4 linked regions of the Arabidopsis thaliana genome follow. The protein of the gene in region 1 purifies or fractionates together with the protein of each later gene. This does not show direct contact. Each region holds a gene or a part of one and is shown on either strand. Other genes may lie near its edges. The genes, in order: PPR40, AT1G51980, MPPBETA and MPPalpha.

Evidence for each region.
Region 2: the proteins of PPR40 (region 1) and AT1G51980 fractionate together in Arabidopsis thaliana (co-fractionation; one study listed by BioGRID). This does not show direct contact.
Region 3: the proteins of PPR40 (region 1) and MPPBETA fractionate together in Arabidopsis thaliana (co-fractionation; one study listed by BioGRID). This does not show direct contact.
Region 4: the proteins of PPR40 (region 1) and MPPalpha fractionate together in Arabidopsis thaliana (co-fractionation; one study listed by BioGRID). This does not show direct contact.

The regions. Positions count from the first base shown.
Region 1 is NC_003074.8:5,767,446-5,772,377, forward strand, and holds PPR40 (pentatricopeptide (PPR) domain protein 40), read right to left. Parts: upstream 2,992-4,932; 5' UTR 2,936-2,991; coding exon 956-2,935; 3' UTR 532-955; downstream 1-531. Other genes in the region: AT3G16880 (F-box and associated interaction domains-containing protein), read left to right, coding at 1-385; AT3G16895 (Cysteine-rich protein), read right to left, coding at 3,577-3,743, 3,987-4,071; AT3G16900 (LURP-one-like protein (DUF567)), read left to right, coding at 4,661-4,879. UniProt on the Arabidopsis thaliana protein: Required for the ubiquinol-cytochrome c oxidoreductase activity of mitochondrial complex III.
Region 2 is NC_003070.9:19,322,524-19,328,691, forward strand, and holds AT1G51980 (Insulinase (Peptidase family M16) protein), read right to left. Parts: upstream 4,396-6,168; 5' UTR 4,249-4,395; coding exon 4,210-4,248; intron 3,900-4,209; coding exon 3,654-3,899; intron 3,577-3,653; coding exon 3,280-3,576; intron 3,186-3,279; coding exon 3,018-3,185; intron 2,916-3,017; coding exon 2,748-2,915; intron 2,646-2,747; coding exon 2,568-2,645; intron 2,463-2,567; coding exon 2,396-2,462; intron 2,270-2,395; coding exon 2,172-2,269; intron 1,938-2,171; coding exon 1,868-1,937; intron 1,769-1,867; coding exon 1,698-1,768; intron 1,578-1,697; coding exon 1,528-1,577; intron 1,418-1,527; coding exon 1,305-1,417; intron 1,216-1,304; coding exon 1,169-1,215; 3' UTR 532-1,168; downstream 1-531. UniProt on the Arabidopsis thaliana protein: Substrate recognition and binding subunit of the essential mitochondrial processing protease (MPP), which cleaves the mitochondrial sequence off newly imported precursors proteins.
Region 3 is NC_003074.8:363,870-369,434, forward strand, and holds MPPBETA (Insulinase (Peptidase family M16) protein), read left to right. Parts: upstream 1-1,679; 5' UTR 1,680-1,754; coding exon 1,755-2,426; intron 2,427-2,918; coding exon 2,919-3,083; intron 3,084-3,173; coding exon 3,174-3,311; intron 3,312-3,390; coding exon 3,391-3,542; intron 3,543-3,634; coding exon 3,635-3,743; intron 3,744-3,869; coding exon 3,870-3,968; intron 3,969-4,133; coding exon 4,134-4,199; intron 4,200-4,350; coding exon 4,351-4,462; intron 4,463-4,570; coding exon 4,571-4,665; 3' UTR 4,666-4,970; downstream 4,971-5,565. Other genes in the region: AT3G02080 (Ribosomal protein S19e family protein), read right to left, coding at 269-341, 446-629, 715-805, 1,209-1,292; AT3G02100 (UDP-Glycosyltransferase superfamily protein), read right to left, coding at 4,971-5,418, 5,517-5,565. UniProt on the Arabidopsis thaliana protein: Catalytic subunit of the essential mitochondrial processing protease (MPP), which cleaves the mitochondrial sequence off newly imported precursors proteins. Preferentially, cleaves after an arginine at position P2.
Region 4 is NC_003074.8:5,597,733-5,603,561, reverse strand, and holds MPPalpha (mitochondrial processing peptidase alpha subunit), read right to left. Parts: upstream 3,853-5,829; 5' UTR 3,657-3,852; coding exon 3,618-3,656; intron 3,329-3,617; coding exon 3,095-3,328; intron 3,013-3,094; coding exon 2,716-3,012; intron 2,630-2,715; coding exon 2,462-2,629; intron 2,351-2,461; coding exon 2,183-2,350; intron 2,094-2,182; coding exon 2,016-2,093; intron 1,943-2,015; coding exon 1,876-1,942; intron 1,755-1,875; coding exon 1,657-1,754; intron 1,568-1,656; coding exon 1,498-1,567; intron 1,409-1,497; coding exon 1,338-1,408; intron 1,253-1,337; coding exon 1,203-1,252; intron 1,110-1,202; coding exon 997-1,109; intron 893-996; coding exon 846-892; 3' UTR 535-845; downstream 1-534.

The sequences.
Region 1 (4,932 bases):
TTGTGGAGATATTGTGGCTCTCTCTAGTGTTAGAGAAGAGAAACTTGCAGTGTTACTTCACCGCTGCAATATATCAAGGATGGAGATATGGATTACTAACAAGATTGAGCCCAACAATGTGTCGTGGGGAAAGTTGTTCTTAACAGTGGACATGAAACCACTCATTATTGATGATGGAATTTTCTTCATTGACGAGGAGAAGAAAGTAGTTGTGGTTTTTGATAAGGACAAAGAGATGAGAAACCGTATCACAGCTTACATCATTGGAGAGAATGGATACTTCAGAAAAGTGGATCTCGGAGATTCTGAAAGTTTTCCTGTTAGGTGCTCTTATGTACCAAGTTCAGTGGAAATCAAGCAACTGGCAAAAGGCAAAAGCAACTAGTCCATTTACAATACCCAAATATTTGGTTCTTGCATTGTTTAATTACTACTACTCTTGCTTTGTCTTCTTTTCTCAGCTTCCTGATTCCTGAACAATATTGGTCTATTCTTAGTTCGTTTCTCATCTCTTACGTTGAAAAAAAGATTGTTAAGCATACTAGTTTGAGATCGAAACAACAAAATCATTCAATACTCATGTCCAATATAATCTGGCAAAACTGTTGTTTCCTAAACTGTTACACGGTAAGGGTATAAATTAGGGCCAAGGCTATCTAGTGCTAAACATACAAAATCTTTTGCCTTTTGACTGTCAAGTACCAACCAACTGCCATTACTATTGCCGCCACTTTCTCGGACTCAGAAATATATAAAAGCTTTGATCAATCAAAAGAACAAAACTTAATACTCTGTTCTGCATTTTGCACTCATGTTCTGTTTCTCTTCCGTCTGCATCAAAGAGGCAACCCGTGGCAAAGATCGGGTTCTTTCTCAGACATTTCCAAATGAAACGAACCCACTTTTCCGGTTTCTAAGCCTTCATAGGATATTCACACTCTCGAGGATTCAATTTCTATGAGGCTGACACGGTTTCTCTCGAGAGTCCACTTTTTCTTAGGTCAAGTTCTTCAACAAGACGCTTAGTATATGAATCTGGAACACATCCATGTCTTTCGATTGAACTGAACATCTCTCTTGCTTCACTCTCTCTTCCAGATTCACTTAGAGCTTTGATGAGAGTGCTATATGTAAAGTTATCTGGTTTCAAACCAATTCTCAGCATTGTTTTAAGCAATTCCTCAGCCTTCTTAACCTTTCTCATCTTGCAAAAACTCTGAATAGTCGCATTGTACGCATAAAGGTCTGGACTTAACCCGTTTTCCTTCATCTTCGCAAACAGCTTCACTGATCTATCGGTATCTCCGGTGGAACAACAGGAGCGAATCAAGATATTGTATGTGATCTCGTTTGGCTCAATACCCCATTCCAACATCTCCTTGAAACAGTCAAATGCATCTTTAATTTCTTTTGCTCTGCAAAGACAGTTTATGATCAAACTGAAAGTGATCACGTCTGGTTTGAAACCATGTACAAGAAGCTTCTCTAGCACGCCGTGAACCTTCTTTACATCACCCCTCACGCTATAACCGCTCAGAAAGGTATTGAAAGTTACGAGATTCGGAGAAATACCTCTATCCTGCATCTCTGTTAAGAACATAGCTGCATTCTCTATGCGTCGAGCCTTGCAGAGACAGTCAATTACCGCATTATAACTATATACACTTGATAGAAGCCCGTCAACACCCATTTGTTTCAGATACCGGTCACCTTCAGAGAACCTCTGAGCATTCAACAGAGCTTGAACTAACACAAGATAACCATTGAATCCTGGCTTAACTCCACGGCTGACAAAACCGTCAAATATCCTACAAGTCTCAACAAGATCATGCCCTTTTAGGAGACAACTCATCGCAGCATTGAATGTTGAGCTATCCGGAATATAACCTCTCTCACCTATCTTCCTCAAGAATTGACCAGTCTCTTTAGCCATTGAGTTGTTTGAAAGACAATACAACACAGCATCGTAACCAACTCTTTGCAAGTTTGAGTCTTTCTCCATAAACCCAACCAAAACCTCAAACGCTTTACACGGCGGCAAGCAACGGAAAATCCCGTGTACGAAAGTTCTGATTGTAGCTTCATTAGGATTCAACTTTCTCACCCGCATCATCTCCAATTGCTTCAACGCCTCATCAACCCTCCCTGCTATCAAAAACCCGTCGATCAAAATCGTGTATGTGAACACATTGGGTCTATTCCCTTCCTGTTCCATCTGTTTAACCAATCGAATAGCTTCATCAACCACACCCTTCTTGCAAACACCATGTATAAGTATATTATAGGTAAACCGATCCGGTTTACAGCCATCACTACGCATCTGCTGAAACTTGAGGTAAGCCAAATCAAGTGAATTAGACTTCACCAACGCATCAATCACAGCATTATAAAGCCTTGTACTTGGTTTCATTCCAAGAAAAGATATCTGAGCAAAAACATCATTACAGTACTTAGCTAAACCTAATCTTCCCCAGCTTCCGATCAAAACACACATCAATTCATCACTAATCCGATACCCTGAATCTCTAATCTCTTTAAGCAATTCCATAGACAACAATAAGGGGCCTTTACGAAAAAGTGCGTTCCCTAGAACACTCTTCAGAGACTGATCCTTAGCGTAAACCGGGTCGAAGTTGGAGACCCAGAGGTAAAATCGCAGGGAGTGTAATGGGTTGTCTTGATTCTGCAAAACGCTGATGACGAATCGAGTGTTGAGACCAATTCGATGAGTGGTGAATTCTTGATTCAGTATCAAAAACCAATCTTTTCTCTCTATGACTTGCGAAATGTAACGCTGGTTCAGAGGATTGGTGGGTTTACCTGAAGAGTTTAGGGTTTTTGAGAGCTTAGGGTTTACGGATGTGGAAGCGTTTAGTGATTTGGAAGCTGCTGCCGCCGTCGCTATTCTAGATGCTGAAGAAGCAAAGCCTCTCATGTCGTGACCAGAACGGAGCTGAGTGCAAGTGAAACATTGATTTGGTCTCTAACCTCAAGACGATGTTTCCTAAACGACGCTGTTTAATACACCAATATCAATATGTGTTCGAATTTAATAATTTTTTTTTTAGTTTCAGAATAAATTAAGAAAAAGTCATGACCAAAAAGATCATCTCCTTTGAAACAAACAAAAACAAAAGAATTTTGGTTGATCCTAATGACTCTTCCATTGCCACCATGAAAATGAGGGTTTTCATTATAGTTTATCCATCTCTTGATTACTATGAATTTTAATTTTCTTGTAATAATTATATTTCTAAGTGATAATTTTCTAATTTCTATCTTAAATTGTAGCATTGACTAAATATTTCCATCTTCATCTTCAAAAATATATTATGATAATATTAAGTTATTGCTAATGAGAGATGTAATAAAAAGAGTTGTGATGAAGTCATTATTATGCTATTTATGTATGATTAATAATATGTTATAAAAATTACTATTGCAATATATATAGTTTTCTTATATCATTGCATTTATTTATAAGAATAAGATACAAATCAAGTCCAATAACTTAGAGAAAATAAAGGCAACGCTAGAATCATCAATTTTGAGAGAAAATGGATTTATAAGTTTGTATTACTTTTGACAACAACATTTCACTGGACATGGAATACAAGGAGAACCACACTGTCCACCTTTTTGAAAGCCAGCTCTAAGACAGTCCTTATTACATTCATCATTCCAGTAATCTTCGGAACACCTAATATTGCAGTTGTCAAAAGAGAAGCCTTCGATCCTTGCATCTACACAAGTCCACATATATATCAAACATCATCAATACCAACATGTGTAAATTTTATATCATTCCAATAAAAAATAGTTATATAACATGTCCAAATAAAAGTTTTTAACGAAACTTTTGAATTCATGTATAATATATATATAAACAAAAACGTGATCATAACGAATTCCAAATATTTAGATATATAGCCTTTGAAATGATCACTACTAAATTGCAAAATAGCTAAACCAAACTTTGAAAATACCTGAAGCCAAAACGTTGTTGTTAGGCAACGAAACTGCAAGTATTATTACAAGGAAACATGTCACCAAAGTTTTCGTACTACCCATAATAAATTTTTCTATGAACTCTTTTGAGGTATTCAAATGTTTTTATTGTTTAGGATCTTAAGGATTGACTATTTATATATAACTTTTGGTCTTCAGTTTGTTTTATTACAATTAATTGATGATCCATTTTTGTTTCTCAAAGTTTTTTATTTTTGGCAAAAAAAATCATTTACATTTATGAATATATAATTATTTACAATTAATAATCCTAAATGAGAACTTAAAAATTGAAAAAAGTGTGTGACACTTGTGAATATGGTCAAAGGTAATTTGTTGGATATGTTGTCATTATGTTCAATCAATATCTCAAGTTAAATGCGAGATTTTAATTTCATAATTCAATATTGGAAATTTTTTTTTTATAATTAGGTATATTATAAATTTTAACTGATTTCAAAATTGATATTGACAAAACAAATTGAAAGGAAAATTAAATATTATCTGTAAAGTCATTATTGTTTTTGTTAATAAATATTTTTTAGTTTCATAATAAATTAGGAAAAAGTCATGATGACCAAAAAGATCAATAAGTTGAAAGTTGATAAATGTCTTGTTTTTTTTTTAATCATCTTCTTTGAAACAAACAACAATGGCAAAACAAGATCCCACTAGCAGCAACACGATGCTACCACTCGTAGGATCTGAGTTTGTTCGTCCACAGCCGTTAGATCTAACGATAACCGGAGATACAGTGAAGGACGCAACCGGGAACAAAGTGTTCAAAGTCAAAACGCCTCTCTTTGGTCTCCACAACAAAAGAATCTTGGTTGATCCTAATGACTCTCCCATTGTCACCATGAAAATGAAGGTTTTCATTATAGTTACTTGTTATTACCTCTTGATTTTTGTTTAGTTAATCGG
Region 2 (6,168 bases), on another chromosome or scaffold:
GAAAGTAGATGAAGAGTACTTCAAACAAATATCAAGGATTCAACAGTTTAAGGATTCAACCCGTTCCTATAAATCATAAAACCACAAAATATCCCAAACTGACGATTTCTACTCGTTTCTCTTGGAATTGTGTAGAAGATGACGAAGCGTGGTCGCATTTTGCTCCCAAGGTTACTCTAATTCATCGAAAAAATCGAATTATCGAACCTATTTCTCCCAAGTAAATTATCTGGCTTTTGTTTTGTTTTTTTTTCTTCCTTAAAATTTGTGTCTTTGCGACCAAAGTAAGCCACTTTTAGAAGAGAAAGTTAGAGCTTCGACGTTGCGTGACTTTGCAAGCTGGTCTTTTTAATTAAGACAAAAAGCACTGATTTCGTGTGTTTTTTTACATTACAATTTCTATTCATTTTTAAATTATCCATCGTTCGAAGTTTACAATTATCCCAAAAAAATAACACTTTCTAAAAACATAAACGAAAGTTTATAACTGTAAAGTGTTGAAGTTGTAGATGATCGAACTCTTTACAGTGCTATGCTTGCTCATCCCTCTCCTACCACCATGAACAAACTTGGAATCCCGGAACTCTCGCTTCTTACTGTTCCTCCTCGTCCCATTTTGCCTTCCTTTGCCTCCTCCTGATCAATCCCCGCAAGACACGCTTAGTCTTTTCTTACCTTCTCCTCCCTGGAAACTCTTTCCATTCTCCAAATCCAAGTTTAATTCATTCTGCTTTATCGCTAAAACCGCACTGCATTAAGAAGCCGAGACTTCACTTTCTCCAAGCAGCTATCTGATTTCACTATCTCCGCAAAGTAACCCCGTTCCTTACGTCTACTCAACATTCTCCGGTAACATATATGCAAAATTGAGAACACTTGCATAAAAACTGACACAGTTCTAATTGTACCACTGAAGTTGTTTGCATTACACGTAGTAAAAGATTATTTATTGGAATACAAATACTCCTGAAAATTGGAGAGACAAACCGGACAAAATCCAGTCATTTATATCTGTCGATGGAAACAAAATCCATTTCATAAAAATACGAAACTGTAATTGTAAAAAAAAAAATTAAAATTAAAATTGGTTGGGTCTTCTTCTCCCCAAGATCTTCTTTATTTTACAAGTCCCAAAATATTGTTGATTTGGCAAATTGTTTGTTTTGCTTCAACGAAATTTGCTGCTTATTGTGTCATAGCTCGGAACAGCCAACACTGCCAAAAACAAAAACACGATAAACAATATTAAGACACTAGATCTTGGTTTGTAAAAGATTGATAAGAAAAAAGTGAAAGTTGTTTACCATCTCCAAAGGAACCCATTGTCAAAGGCTTTGAAATAACCTTGCTGGTGAAGTCTGCAATGTCTTTCAAGGTTAGTTGGTCTACTGACTTCAAGAATTGATCAACTGGTTTCCTGCAAGATTTTGTAAAAACCACAAATTATGATGTGTCTGGAATTGAAGAAAACTATGGAGATCTAGTGAACTTCTTCGGGTTTTCAAATGAAGTTCTGCGTATACATACCTCTCTCCGTATGTAAGTATCTGTCTACCAATGTCTTCTGCTGCAATCATCTGGCACAGGAAAACCGTTTGAACACATTCATAACATATAATGGTTTGGATCAAGTTAAACAAATTGGCAACATTTAAGTATTTTTATGTAAGTAGAGGGTGCGAGAGTTAAAAATATACCCGAGATTCCAAATTCATCAGAACTGCAGATTTTGTGGCTGCCTTGGCACGATCAAGATGTGCCTGGTTAACTGTCCAACATAAGAACACAAGGAAAATGTTTCATAGATGTATGAGAATGGTTTCAACTTGTTAGATTAAGTGATAATGGAAGAAACAAAACTGCAAACCTTTTCCTCCTGCAACATCTTTGAGTTCTTTAGCTGCTAATTCAATTGCTTTTGCAGCGAATTGAGGACTCTGCACTCAAAGACACAAATCCCCTATCAGCTAACACATATTACCGAAACACATATCCGGCAATGAATTTTTCAGCTAAAAAAACTTGGACATCACTTTAACCTCAAAGTCAATATTTCTTAAGCTTAACCACAAAAATTGGTATTCCGTTGTTACACATCTCATCAATAGAAAAATGTGGATAAGTAATGAAAGGAAAAACATAGAAAGCGACATCAGGATTGTTGAACTTACCGAGCAACCATAGATTCCAAACAACCCGGTGTCGTTAAAGATGCTAGTGAATGCAGTGCATGACTGAACCTCCTGATATTCGTTTAGAACACGGCGATCTGTAACCAGACATAAGAACTTGTATCACTATTACTGATAGCTTAGCAGTGCGAGAGTATGGTCCGTGAACTAGTTCAATAAACAAAACTAGAATAGGCCAAAAAGAAATACAAGATTTGACTTACAAAGCCACGAGTGCATTCCTTTTCCAGGACCTCCCGCAGAGAATGAGCCACCTCCTCCCATAAGCATCTAATAGCAATTAGATTACATTTTATTACTTTTTCGCCAGTAAAAAAAATTTGATCGAAACAAGTGAAAGTTAAAGCAACCAAAAAGTAAAATTCAATTAGACACCTGGAGAACAGTGGCGGTGACTGCTTCTTTCTCGTTATTCCAGCCAGGCACCTCGAAAGCAACCGCAAAGTGTGTAGCCTGAAAATGGAACAACAAAAGCTCAATAAGAAATGTGACATAGAAACACCTTCATCTCAGACACACTTGTCCAGTGATGGGAAATCTGTCATGAATACCTACCTCTCCACCAGTATGTTGGCGAAAATCTCCACCGACATACTGAGATTTTGGAGCCAATTGGGGTGGTACATTAGGAAGGTCAGAAGTTAATGGCTCAGCAACTTTTAAAAGTTCCTCATGTTCTACTCCACTTGCCGCCAATACCATCCGTGCAGCAGTGAAATTCTCCTGAAATTCCCAGATAAATTGAGTCAAAAAGACAAATAAATAGGATTGTAATTTTGAAATCGCTGAGACGTAGATGGTTCACAAAAGCTCATGCATTCTTACAGTCATAAACTCTTCCAAGAGCTCCCCATTCAATCTATCTAAAGCAGACTCCGGTGCGTACAGAGGACTTGCCAATGGACCAGAGTAACCAGCAGAATGAATGGCCTCCAAGAGGAAACCCATAGGGTTCTTTGCAAGTTCCGCTATCTCTACCTTCATCTTCCGTAGCTGCGGAAAAGATCATCGACACATGGCTAAAAGTCACATAAAAGTTTCAACACAGTTATCAGAATAATACAAAAGGAAAAAAAAAATGATCTACCTCTTCATTCACTTCCCAGTCCAAGAAAGCAGGGTTTCTAACACTGTCAATAAGAACTTCAACCATTTCAGGGACATAGGTCTTAAGAGCATCAATAGTGTAACTCATTTGCTCTCGAGACGCAGAAGCGGATGTGTTGCCTCCAATAGCCTCAATTTCCCTCACAAGACGAAAATGAGTTCTGTTCAACGTGCTCTTGAAAGCCATTCTTTCAAGCAAATGTGTAGCTCCATGGAAATAAGGCGCCTCATAAATAGAACCGCAATCAACATATAAACCAATCGAAGCTGCCGGATTCTGCACACAACATTAACTTTCTTCAGTTCACATTTTCAGGAGTGAAATCAGACATTAAAATTCGTTCTTTTATTTACCGGAGTCGTCTCTGAGGCTATCTTAAGACCATTTGGAAGAGTAGTGATCTGAAGTTTGCTCGGCTCGACTTTATCAGCAAGCGGCGGAGGAAGAGAAACACCTTGTAGAGGCATATCCAATGAAGTAAGCGCAGCACGAGACCCACCACTCAACCAGCTCAAGTAAGCCGGCGTTGACGAACTCGTCTCCGCAACAGCACTAGAACTAGCATAACGCGCTGGTCTCAAACTACGAGTAAGAACTCCCTATATAACACACAATCACAATACATCACATAATAAGAAACCAATCTTTTCTATGGTATCAATCAAAGGACAATAAGAAGAATCATAATCGAAATCATTTCTCTTAAATCGAAAATCAGATGAGTTATAATCTAAACCAATGGATTGACTTTAACCAATCAGAGAAGAGATCATTGTAACCTATAGAAGTAACTACAAACGAAAGAATTTGAATCCAGATCTGTTAATTCACTGAATCGGACCAAATCGTTCCAGAATCTTCCAGGAACAGGATAAAAGGGTAAAATTGTAAAAAGGAATAAGGATGTACCTTAAGAGCCCTGGCTCGTGAAGCTGCCGTGCGATACATGGCGAAGATTGGGTAACCCTAAATCGGAAACTGAGTCGACGACGAAAGAGAGGTTGAGGCTGATGAATAGAGAGAGAGGAGGAGACGGAGGCTTTTTCTCAGTTTATTTACGATTTTGTTTAGTTTAGACTTTAGAATCTAAGTTGCTACGTACTCGGTGATATCTTGCTAACATAGGCCCATAATATGTACTAAAATCTGACCCAATATTGTGTTATGGGCTTGGCCCAATCCTAATATTTATTCAAAGTGGTTTTTAGACTATTTATCAATCTGAACAAATCTAAACTATATAACCTATAGCCAATTTCAACCGTCAAAACATCATCTAATCATCTTTTTCATTAAAAATCTGTTTACTGAAGAATTTTAATAATAATTGAAAATTATCAAAAAATATGTCCATTCTGTATTTACTTAATTAGATTACTGAGTTGGTTTAGTGTGTACTTCAAATATTTTGTTACTAGATTTTAAACCGCGGTATACCGCGAGACGATTTTTTTTTAAAGTAATATATTAAAACTTGCAAATTTTAATTTTATAAAATATTAATATTTTACAGTTTAAAATTGTTATTAGGTAACGTTATACCACGAATCCATGAGACAATTGTTAAAAAACTGAAGTTTTAACCCCTATTAAAACATCATATTAATAATATTTTAATATTTTATAAATATTGATTCAAATACATCCACCATATAACCCAATTCTAAAATAAAATCCGTTATGTAATTTCTTACCCGTCCCATGATTTTTTTTTTAAAGTAGTAATTTTTAAAATTTAAGAATTATTTTTTATATATAAAAGCTTTGCAAATTGTATCATTCTCTAATACATTTATATTTTATAGTTTAATTTTATATATAGTAATATTATACATACCACATAACATTTTTGGTTTTATATAATCTTTTCTAAATTAGGATGATTTGATATGTTTAATATTAGTAGTTTTAAAAAATAATAAATTAAAGATTTAACCCGTATTGAAACGGTGGATTAGTTATATTTTACTTTTTTATTAATGTTGATTCAAAAACCCGTCCCTTCAAATCCGTCTTCCAAAAAGCAATTTATTTTATTAATATTAATTTTATTAATGATATGACTCTGAATTATAATCTAAACATTTTAACTAATAACATAGGAGTGCACCATATTTATTCAATAGGAAAATGTATCATATGACCTGAATGCACTTTTACCCAAATCCACCAAAAAAGCAAATATATTAGTTAGCTTAAATTTGTTAAAGAATACAAATTGAAAAAGTATATTACATTTTATTCGAATATAGTATCAAAACTTATATAACACAGAGATTTGATAATTTTTTAATTGTTGAATACTTTTTGTTTTGCTAATTTTTATGTGATTAAGATTTAATTAATTTCGTATATAAAATATTAAATTATTTTACGAACTTATTTGTTTATAATTTGGTAACAGATAGATATTTGAATATTCAATATATTTTGCTTCAGTTTAGGAAATATTTGATGACCCATCTTTAGATCCAATAAGCCCTATAATCTAGATATTAACCTGCTGTATACCGCAGGTAGACTTATATTTTAGTTAAACTAAAAACTTTTATTGTAAAGATGATTTAAAAATATATGATATTATTTTATTTGATTTTAAATGTATATTAAACTGTGAGTTGTATATGTTTTGTTAATATTATGTATATTGTTTAGTGTTTAAGATTATACACTTGTAGTTTGATTGCTAATTTAAGAGTTTCACCTGTAGTATACCATCTTGTATTAATATCGATCTAAACCCGTCAATTCTAAGATTTTCCAGCTTGTATTAAAAATTGAATCACATCATACATATAAGAAAATCTAATATGTTTTTAATTATTGTAGTATATAAGATTATAAATTTTCAATATAATATGTATGAAA
Region 3 (5,565 bases), 5.4 Mb from region 1:
GTGAGATTAGTGGCACTAAAGAAGGATGAAATTAGCAATTTAGGGATGAAGAAACCATATCCTATTATCCTTAAATCGGACGAACACAAAAATACGGTTGAAGACATAAGTTTCAATGTCCAAAGCCATCGCCAAAAAGATAAATTTTTGAACATTATGAGCGCAAGTCTTGAGAATGAAATGGTAACAATTCTTAAAAGTAAAGATAAACACTAAAAGCACAATGGCCTCAAAAGTAGAAGAAGAACAAAAAAGAACATTAAGATCTTCAAGGTTCAACTGCAATACGGCCAGCAACCTGGTCCAAATCCCTTTGGCCACTGGAAGTGATCCTTCTTCCTCTGAAAGAAGAACAAAAGTGATACTAGTATTAGCATAAAAACATTTTTAAAGAGAAACACCTCTAACGTAGTAGTAGTAGTAGTAGTAGTAGTAGTAATGTTACCCTTTGGTGTCGAGCTCAACAATGTTCATTGTCTCCAGCTGTTGGAGGATGTGACGGGCAATACCACCACTGCTTTTGCAAAAGTGAGGTGGGCGACTACCGTTCCTCTTGCTTCCACCATAGATTCTACGGAAAGCACCAACACCAAGTCCTCCCCTCAGGTAAACCTTCCTTGCCATAGATGCTGCACAAGAAGTCATTTTGCTAATTGAAAACTTTATAAACGCATAGAGATAATAAGAGACAAACTAGGATGAAAGAGAACTAACCAGCTCTGATGTAGTACCAATCAGGATCATATGGTGCAAGCTCCTTCAACTTTCCGGTCTTCACAATGTCTGTCCATGTGGGAAGCTCGATCTGAAACAAACAATTATGGTCTCGTGAAAACCAAAACAATTGTAAAAAGTGGAGCTTGACATTCAAGCTATTGTAATTGCTAGTGTAAATTAATTCAACAGACGTAACAAAGCAAATCACAATATTAATCCCAAGCATTTGAATCTTAAGCTGTCTATTAACAAATACTAAGAGTAACACTTGTGATTCAATAAATATTAGCAACATATACAAAATTTCAATACATTCAACAGACATTACACAATTCAAAGTATTATAGAGAAATGCCAACAATCAACAGAAATATCTATGAACTAATGGAAATCATTGCAATTTGAGCTTAATCCATCTTTATTCGAGTACATACAAATAAAGCTTGGAACATTTCTACTCAAACAAAAAAGAAGAGACTTTATCCACTAACCTTGCCAGATCGCTTGAGATGAGAAGCATAAGCCTTGACGAAGTCATGAGGCGAGACGTCTTTCACAGTTTTACCAGTTGCCATGGCTCAAGTTATCAAAAGACTAATCACTGATCTTCGTCTGGGATTTTGCCCAACGCAGCTGAATCTCTCTCCGCAAAGACTAGGGTTTTTATTCTCCAATAACAAAACTTATATATACGGCCACGATATTTCGATTAGGGTTTTCTCCCCATATCCGGGTCAAAAAATCCAACCCGTTCTCAGCCCACACTAATGGGCCTAATTCTTCATACGGCCTTACTATCTAACCAGTATGAATAATGTTCTTTGATACGATAATGCGCCTACTACGGCCTTATTATATCAGTTGACTAGTATTATGTCCTAAACGACACCGTTCTTAATTAGTAACATTAAATGACGTCGTTTTATAATCGCTTAACCACTGGCTATTAGTTCGCATCTCAAGTCGTCTCTGCCATTTTTGGCTTTTTAATCAAACCCTAGAGAGATTGAGAGAGCGAAGAGAAGCCATCATCAGCCATGGCGATGAAGAATCTACTGTCCCTAGCTCGCCGATCTCAGAGGCGTTTATTCCTCACTCAAGCCACACGATCTTCCTCTTCGTTTTCAGCTATCGATTCGGTGCCGGCTTCCGCATCTCCGACGGCTCTATCTCCACCGCCGCCGCATCTTATGCCATACGACCACGCGGCTGAGATTATAAAAAATAAGATCAAGAAGCTCGAGAATCCTGATAAGAGGTTCCTTAAATACGCATCTCCACATCCGATCCTCGCTTCCCACAATCACATCTTGTCAGCTCCGGAGACTCGTGTCACTACCTTGCCCAATGGTCTACGAGTCGCTACTGAGTCAAATCTCTCGGCTAAGACCGCCACCGTTGGAGTCTGGATCGACGCTGGATCTCGGTTTGAGTCCGATGAGACCAACGGAACGGCTCATTTTTTGGAGCATATGATATTCAAAGGCACGGATAGGCGTACAGTGAGAGCGTTGGAGGAAGAGATCGAAGATATTGGTGGTCACCTGAACGCGTATACATCGAGGGAACAGACCACTTATTATGCTAAGGTTTTGGATTCCAATGTGAACCAGGCTTTGGATGTCTTGGCTGATATCCTACAGAATTCTAAGTTCGAGGAACAGAGAATTAACCGCGAACGAGATGTCATCCTCAGGGAAATGCAAGAGGTATGTATTTGTTATCTCTGTACTTAAAAAACTAAACTTTTTGTTCTGTCCTCGATTTATCTTTCGTTTTTTTTTAGTGAGGTGGTACTATGGACCGTAGTTTGTGTTTTTTTAGATCAATACCCTTAGTTTCAGTTTCCCGTGTGCCTGCCTAAAAATGAAAACTTTAGTATGTTCTTAAGTTATCTTCCCTTTTTTTAAGGTTGTATTGGCATAAGCACATGTTCTATAGAGAGATGTTATTGTGTTTATATAAACCATTGCTCTAAAAATGAAAACTTTGTTCTGTTTTTGGATTATCTCTCGCATGTTTTGGTTTTATTGGCTTAGTCATATGTTGGTCGTATTGTTGTTGGGAAATGTGCATGAAGGGAGATACTAGAGCGCTTGGTACTCTGCTCTACGTGTTGGTTAGAGTTATTTGTTTCTTTAATCAGTTAAAGATAGAATACACATTAAGCTTTAGTTTTTTGATAATTGGTTTGGTCGTAGGTGGAGGGACAAACCGATGAAGTGGTTCTTGACCATTTACATGCCACTGCATTCCAATACACACCCCTTGGAAGAACTATTTTGGGACCTGCTCAGAACGTCAAATCGATCACCAGAGAGGATCTACAGAACTACATTAAGACTCACTACACTGCTTCCAGGATGGTATAGATTTTGGTTACTTCTTATCATTTCCTACAATCACTTATTGAATTTTTTAGGATTCTTATCTTGGTTCATCCAAAACATTTTCAGGTGATTGCTGCTGCAGGAGCTGTTAAGCATGAGGAAGTTGTTGAGCAAGTGAAGAAGCTATTTACCAAGTTGTCGTCTGATCCAACAACTACTTCTCAACTGGTTGCCAATGAACCTGCTAGTTTTACTGGTTCTGAGGTAAGGACACAACCATATGATTTTGTTATATGCAATGTTCCATCTTTCTAAATTCTTTAGTCCGTGAAATTCTTCTCAGGTCCGAATGATTGATGACGACCTACCCCTTGCACAATTTGCTGTTGCCTTTGAGGGAGCATCTTGGACTGATCCAGATTCCGTTGCTCTTATGGTTATGCAAACTATGTTGGGTTCGTGGAACAAAAATGTTGGTGGTGGAAAACACGTGGGGTGAGTTTACTCTCTGGCTAATATTTCTAATGATGGATTTAATGAAAAGCTATTTCGCAATGTGTTGATGAACATTATGGTTCTATGTGCAGTTCTGACCTGACCCAGAGGGTTGCCATTAATGAAATAGCAGAAAGCATAATGGCATTCAACACTAACTACAAGGATACTGGACTGTTCGGCGTTTATGCAGTTGCCAAGGTCAACCCAGAACTCCATAGCTATCTTAGTTTCATCTCTTTCTTGTATTTGTCAATATTAGCAGTTTCATCTCATGAATGCCTCGTATTATATCTCTTTTAACATCTTGTAAGGTACTTTTTTCAGGCCGATTGCTTGGATGATTTATCATATGCCATTATGTATGAGGTAACCAAGCTGGCCTACCGAGTTTCAGACGCTGATGTGACACGTGCACGAAATCAGGTAAACGCCCAACTGTTCTTTCTCTCTTTCCCAAGATTCAGCTTTAAGCTAGTTACAAATGTGATCTGTTTAAAGTTTTTTTTTTCTTTTCCTCCTGTTTCTTCGAACTCCTTACTTATTTGTAGATAGATTTTAAATGCCAACTGATTTTAAATTTCTCTGCAGCTGAAATCATCATTGTTACTTCACATGGATGGAACCAGCCCAATTGCTGAAGATATTGGTCGTCAGGTATGCGATGAATCATTTAAGCATCTTAATTTAGAACTTATAAGTTTATAAATGCATTGGTCAAAGATAACAAACCTTGACTTTCCTTATAGTTGGTGTTTATCTTCAAAATCATTCTAATAAAACGCCTGGATTTTTGTTCTAAATGCAGCTGCTGACCTATGGGCGTAGAATCCCAACCGCTGAACTCTTTGCTAGGATCGATGCTGTTGATGCCAGCACGGTAAAACGTGTTGCCAACAAATATATCTATGACAAAGTAAGTTCTATTTCTCTCTCCCTCTTGCTCTCTCTATCCTCCAAGGATTAGACTGCTAAACAAGAGTACAAACGTCAAGAGTGATTAAGGTGATTTTTGGGATTATGTGCAGGACATTGCAATCTCAGCTATTGGTCCAATCCAAGATTTGCCAGACTACAACAAATTCAGACGCAGAACCTACTGGAACCGGTACTAAGGCTCTGAAATAAAGGTCACTGAATCGCAAGGTTCGCCCACGGGGAGATTCCGTAGGCGGAGAGAGCAGAACGAGGTGATGATGGATTCATTATTTTTGAGTTTTTCTTACTGTATCTTCATAATTTACCATCATCGCTGGTAAAATAAGTGTACCATTTACTCTTTGTCCTCTACTGGAAAAATGCTAGAGATCCTCTGTGTGTGTTTTTTTTGTTCTCTTCATAATTTTCCCATACACATACTAATAAGTTCTTTGATGTTTGGTTGAAAACTTGAATTGGATACATTTCATTTCTTCTTGTGAAACTCTATCAATTCACTTGTGATTTGATCCAGTTGACAAATTTATTAAGATTCTCACAAGATATTCCATCTTTTGCAACACTTTTCATCACAATCTCTTTAACCTTCATAGCTCGTTCTTCATACTCTCCACCGTCTCTCATGATCTCATCGATCTTCTTCTTAACCTCTAACCTCGGAACCACTCCTCGTGCGTCTCTTTCAAGTCCTAATCCAATCTTCCACACATCGCATATATATGCTTTGTTGATAAATTGGTCTGCAAAATAAGGGATGCATAGAAATGGTATGCCATTTTGGGCTCCTTCCAGAGTTGAATTCCATCCACAATGGCTCACAAAACACCCAATGGCTCCAGAAGAAAGGACCTCCCGTTGTGGAGCCCATCTCACCACTTTGACTCGATCCGACCCAAGTTTGATTGGTTGTTGATCACCAGTGACCCACAAAACTGGCCTGGTGAATGGATCAACATAACTTATTACATAATAGACACGCATAGAGTAAGTAGGGTAAACCGGAACACACAAACCCGGTTATGTCCAAATCATTACCTCTTGGTAAGCTCTAGACCAATTGCTAGCTCTTCTAACTGAGGGTTGC
Region 4 (5,829 bases), 170 kb from region 1:
TTTTCAAAATCTTTTTGTAATGTTTCTATATCTAATCATTTTTAAAAACCACCAGGGAATATGATTGGTTCATGCCGATACGTGTTTACGTCATCATATTCGTTCTTCTGAAAGTAGAAATAATTAAAATACACATCAACTGCTTTTGATAAGCTCTAATTTACCTCGTAATCCGCCAAAAAGATTCCCTAATAGCCTTTTTAATTAAGGTTTTCTGTGATTAAACACCTTCATCATAGGCTGTCAAAAAAAAAATAACACCTTCATTTTAGACTTTAGGAGTGTGTATGTAAATTATGCTTTCACATTTCGAAATAACTATGGTAAATTGATCTAATTCTAGTAGTAATTTATTGTGGATCTATCTTATATCTGGTTGAGAGTTTAAGATACTTTTAAGGCAATTATTTGTCTGATGGAGTCGTTTCTATTATTTAGATCCATTTATTCAATAATCCTTTTATTAACAAAATATTAAAGCATTTAAGAGTTCATAAAATTAATAATTTGGAAAATATTTTATGTAGTAGTAGACTTCTATCTATCTTTAATGCCTATGTTTGCCAGCATTCTTTAACAAGAAAGAAATTTAAAAATTGAAGCTGAAAAAAGTTGGTAAACGTATCAATCATTATTCACTAACCGAAGAGAAGAAATACGCAACAACGAAATTGGAGACATGGGCGTAATTTGTCACCATTTTCATGGACTTATCTTAGGTCAGAAACTTGAGAGATAGATGAAACAAAAAATTTGGTTGGATCTCCAAAAAAAAGGCTATCTTTATTCTACAGGTCCCAACTCTATCTTATGATGTAAAAAGATCTTTTTTACTTCTTCACTCTTCAGCGAAATCTTTTGCTTACGGAGTCATAGCTTGGAACATTCAACACTGTCCCAAAATCAACACAAGATTTTAGAATAAGTAAAATGGATTTAAGTTTGCAATGCCGTTTTATAAAAGATGTAAAACTGTGATGATGGTTTTGTCATTACCGTCTCCGAAAGTTGCCATTGTCAAAGGCTTTGTGATAACCTTGCTAGTGAAATCTGCAATGTCCTTTAAGGTAAGTTGGTCTACTGTCTTCAAGAATTGGTCTACTGGTTTCCTGCAGATATGTTGGGAAAACAAAAAAAAAAACAGTTAGAGAAAAGTCTGGTTATAATCAGTTTAGAAGTGGAATGTTACAAAGTGTATGTACCTCTCTCCGTAAGTAAGAATCTGTCTACCAATGTCTTCTGCTGCAATCATCTGCAAATCACACAAACAGTTAAATTCCATTATAAAGTCACCCTCATGGCTTAAGAAAAAGAGGTGGAACTTTTAAGTGACCTACCCGAGATTCCAGATTCATCAGAATCGCAGATTTTGTTGCTGCTTTGGCGCGATCAAGATGTTTCTGATTAACTGCCAAAGCATGTACACCAGAGTAAATAATATGTCTGTATGAGTTGATAAATGGTTCTAAAAAAGAATGGATGAAATATATAGAAAACCTTTTCCATCAGCAACAGCGTTCATTTCACTAGCTACTAATTCAATTCCCTGTGAAGCAAATTCAGGACTCTGCAACGCCAAAAGAATGTAAGCAAACCCACATTGCAAAGTGCTAAAAACCGTTAATAAGCAACAACTAGAAATCGGTGCAAACTCACCGTGCAACCATAGATTCCAAACAATCCGGTATTGTTAAAGACGCTAGTGAATGCAGTGCATGATTGAAACTGCTGATGTTGGTTCAAAAGGCGAAGATCTGCATCCAGACAATAAAGAAACCAATCTCATCATCATCATGACCAACAAATAACTAACTTACATTAAAACATGAGTGTTGAAAAACCGCAAGTAGAAAGAGAACACATTCAGAGACTTACAGAGCCAAGAGTGCATTCCTTTTCCAGGGCCTCCCGCAGAAAATGAGCCACCTCCTCCCATAAGCATCTGATAAGAATTGGATTTTACACAATTAAGTCTTTGCGTTTGAAAGATCAAGTAATGTATTTGAGTCAGGCACCTGAAGAACAGTTGCAATGATAGCTTCCTTCTCGTTATTCCATCCTGGCACTTCAAAAGCAAGCGCAAAATGTGTAGCCTGAGAATGGTGAAACAAAAAAAGAAAGATATTAGGAATAATAAACCTTCTTTTACTCAAAGAAGCCCATTGAAACGTCATATTTGTACCTCTCCACCCGTATGTTGACGGAAATCTCCACCGACATATTGAGACTTTGGCTCCGCAGGTCGGGGTACATTAGGGAGGTCAGATAGTAATGGCTCAACCACTTTTAGAAGTTCTTCATGATCAACTCCACTAGCTGCTAGGACCATTCGTGAAGCAGTGTAATTCTCCTGAAATTTCAGAACAAAATGAGAAAAAAGACACATCTACGAAATAACAAACCAAAAGCCAGTGATACTAGTTCCAGCGAATGCAATAATCTCTTGTGTTAACGGTCTTACAAAAACAAAATTCTCCAAGACCTCCCCAGTCAATCCAGTAATTGCAGATTCAGGTGCATACAATGGATTTGCCAATGCGCCAGAGTAACCAGCAGAATGAACTGCCTCCAAAAGAAAACCCATTGGATTCGTTGCGAATTCTCCTATCTCTACTTTCACCTTTCGGAGCTGCCAGGAGAAAAATGATGAAAACAGTGTAAAAAAATTGCTTAGCTTTAATGTTTGTGAGATACATGCAACATGACATGAAGTACCTCTTCATTCACTTCCCAATCCAAAAAAGCAGGGTTCCTCACACTATCAATAAGCACTTCAACCATTTCGGGAACATAGGTTTTGAGAGCATCAATTGTGTAACCCATCTGCTCTCGGGATGCAGAAGCTGAAGTATTACCTCCAATAGCCTCTATTTCCCTTACAAGGCGAAAATGGCTTCTGTTCAATGTACTCTTGAATGCCATCCTTTCAAGCAAGTGCGTCGCTCCACGGAATTGAGGAGTCTCATAAATAGAACCACAGTCAACGTATAAACCAATGGAAGCTGCTGGATTCTGAACAAAATTTCACTCAAAATCACTTTCCAGTAGTTTTTAACAGGAAGTTGATGTTGGGATTACTAAAAGAAGCTCTCACCGGAGACATCTCAGTGGCTATAGTCAGACCATTTGGAAGAGTAGTGGTCTTAAGTTTGCTAGGCTCAACATGGTCAGAGAGTGGTGGTGGAAGAGAGACACCAGCCAAGGGAATGTTCATAGAAGGAAGTGAACTAGAGTAGCCTCCACTTAGCCAGCTGGAGGAAGAAGAGCTCGTTGCAACAGCACTAGAACTTGCATAACGAGAAGCTCGAAAATTGTGGTTTAGAATGCCCTATAAACACACACACACACACACACATCCTAAGCATCATTAATCTCTTGATTCAATTAACATTGTAAAAATAAGAACTTTCGAAACAGAGACATTTCATAAACCTGCAAAAAGCATGAATAATGGCACCAGCTACTATAAAGCGATAAAATTGAATCAAGATCTATAAGAATCTAAGAGACCCTTTAATCCAAATCCAAAAACAATGAATCATACAAATTGTTCAATACTAAGCATTCTCCTAAAAAAACCAGAATCTCAATGGAAACAAGTGAAGTAGGACATTGACCTTAAGGGCCTTGGCTCGAGAAGCTGCCGTACGGTACATGATGATGACTGCGAAACCCTAGCTTGGTCAGATGAGTACCGGTGAATGTGGCTGACGACGGGAGAGAGATAGAGGCCGAGTCAGAGCTGAAAAGAAACGAGAGAAGGGAACGATTTTTTTTCCTAATTAAGGTTATTGGATCGGGCAATTGCTTCTAATTACATTGATAGGCCCATATGATATAATAGTCTTGGCCCAAATTATAACATATAGAAAAGATGAATTTAAAGCCCATGTATTGTAGTGGTGTGATCCTATTATATTTTCTCTCAATTATATTTTTTTTCTTTTCTTTTTCACGTACCATTGTGTAAAAATTCAAGTAAGGTAACGACATTTACATGCAGTCACAAATGAAACAAGAATTTTTTTGAGGTGTGTGTAAAGTGAAACGAAAAAAGTACTAAGAAAGTTTATCTTCTCTAAGTTAATAGAATTATTTTGAAACGTAGTATCCACATATATAGAAGACTCGTGTGTGGTGCATATATATACTGCATAACTTCAATTGAACTGTATTATATAACTATGACTATCCATCCATGGGAAGATAAGAATGAGAGCCGAATGCTAAAAAGCAAGGGACCCGAATTAAACAAAAATGAATAAAGGAGAAAGGTTTGTGTGATTTTGTCAATTGTCGTCGTTTAGTGGATGTGTAAAAATACTAAATACTATAACAGGTGGTGTGGGTCTATCTTTTTTTTTTTTTGGTCTAATGTTAAATGTGGGTCTATCTTAATAATGCAGAAATAGTGCAATACGATTCATGAGTGGAAAAAATCATATTTGGGTACTCTCATATATAGTCTCATTAATCATTATCACCGAGTGGGGCGTACGATACACTTTTTCTTCTTTATCTGTTTTCATCTAATCATCATACTGTATGTCTATATTATCGTAGCATTCATCATCGAGTTATGAAACTTATGCCAAAAGAAAAGAAAAAAAAATCATTTGAGATTGGTTAAATTTCTATTTTAAGATTTAAACCAAAATGTTTAAAGTTCTATAAGCTCTAATTAAAGTCTCTGCAGTCCATTAAAATGGATAATTAGGATTTGCCGAACTTGAAAGGAGTAATGCACATTTTGATGCTCACGTGAACAACGAGTTGTAACGGTTTCGCTATAATTGGAGGCAGATGAGAAATGGTCGTGTGTGAGTTTTAATACCACGTGATTAACGGAGCCACAATCATATTCATGGGCCATTCTCATGAGCTATAATTTGAGGTGTAGCTGAGAGATGGTCAAATGCCACGAACTTTGAGTATTTCTTTCTTAACTTTGCATTTTTTTAGACGTAAGTTTTTTTTTTCATAGCCTACATTTCTTTGACAACTCATAACCTACATTTTGAGAATTTATAAATGTCAATTTATCATTTAACCTTCTCACGATAATGCAATTCCTATGGTAAATGTCAACTCATAACAGACTCTACGAAGAATCTACGACACTGTGAAAATCTCTAATCCAATATTCAAAAGAGAGTTAAAAAAAAAAAAAAAAAACAGAAGAGAACATCTTTACGATGCTGCTTTCACGATTTTAAAATTTTAGGTGATTTTTTTTGGAATTTTGGAATTCTCTTTACAAATTTTATGTTGTAAGGTAGATTCAATTTTAAAAAAAAAAAGATATTTAGATTAATACAAGTTCCTAAGTCCTAACTAATCAAAGCTTCCATCCCTCGTGAAGCACGAGTTGGTTGAATATAAAGTCTCTCAAAAAGAAAAGAAAAAGTGGTTAGTATTGGCAGAAAAAAAAAGTGGTTAGTATTGGATGAAAAGAGAATTTAATGTTCGTATTCAAAAATGTTTTATATATACTATATAGTATATATACAAAATCCCAAGATTAACTCATTCATATTCCATCTTCATCTCCATTTCTCACACTCAAAGGTGTTTCTTCCTTCCCTTTAATGTACTCCTTTTTTCTTTCTTTCACAAAATCGTTATATTGATTTTTACTAGTTTTATTTGAATTATTGAATTTCTTTATATGATAATGAATCTATGAGAATATGATACCATTGTTTAAAGTAATGTCCTAGTGGAAGTATTATAGTCCTCAGATTAGATTAGTTTCATCATCATGAAAGTGCTTGAGTAGTGTCTGTTCATGGCTCTTGTGCGTTTACAGTTTCTAAGAAATGGGTACTA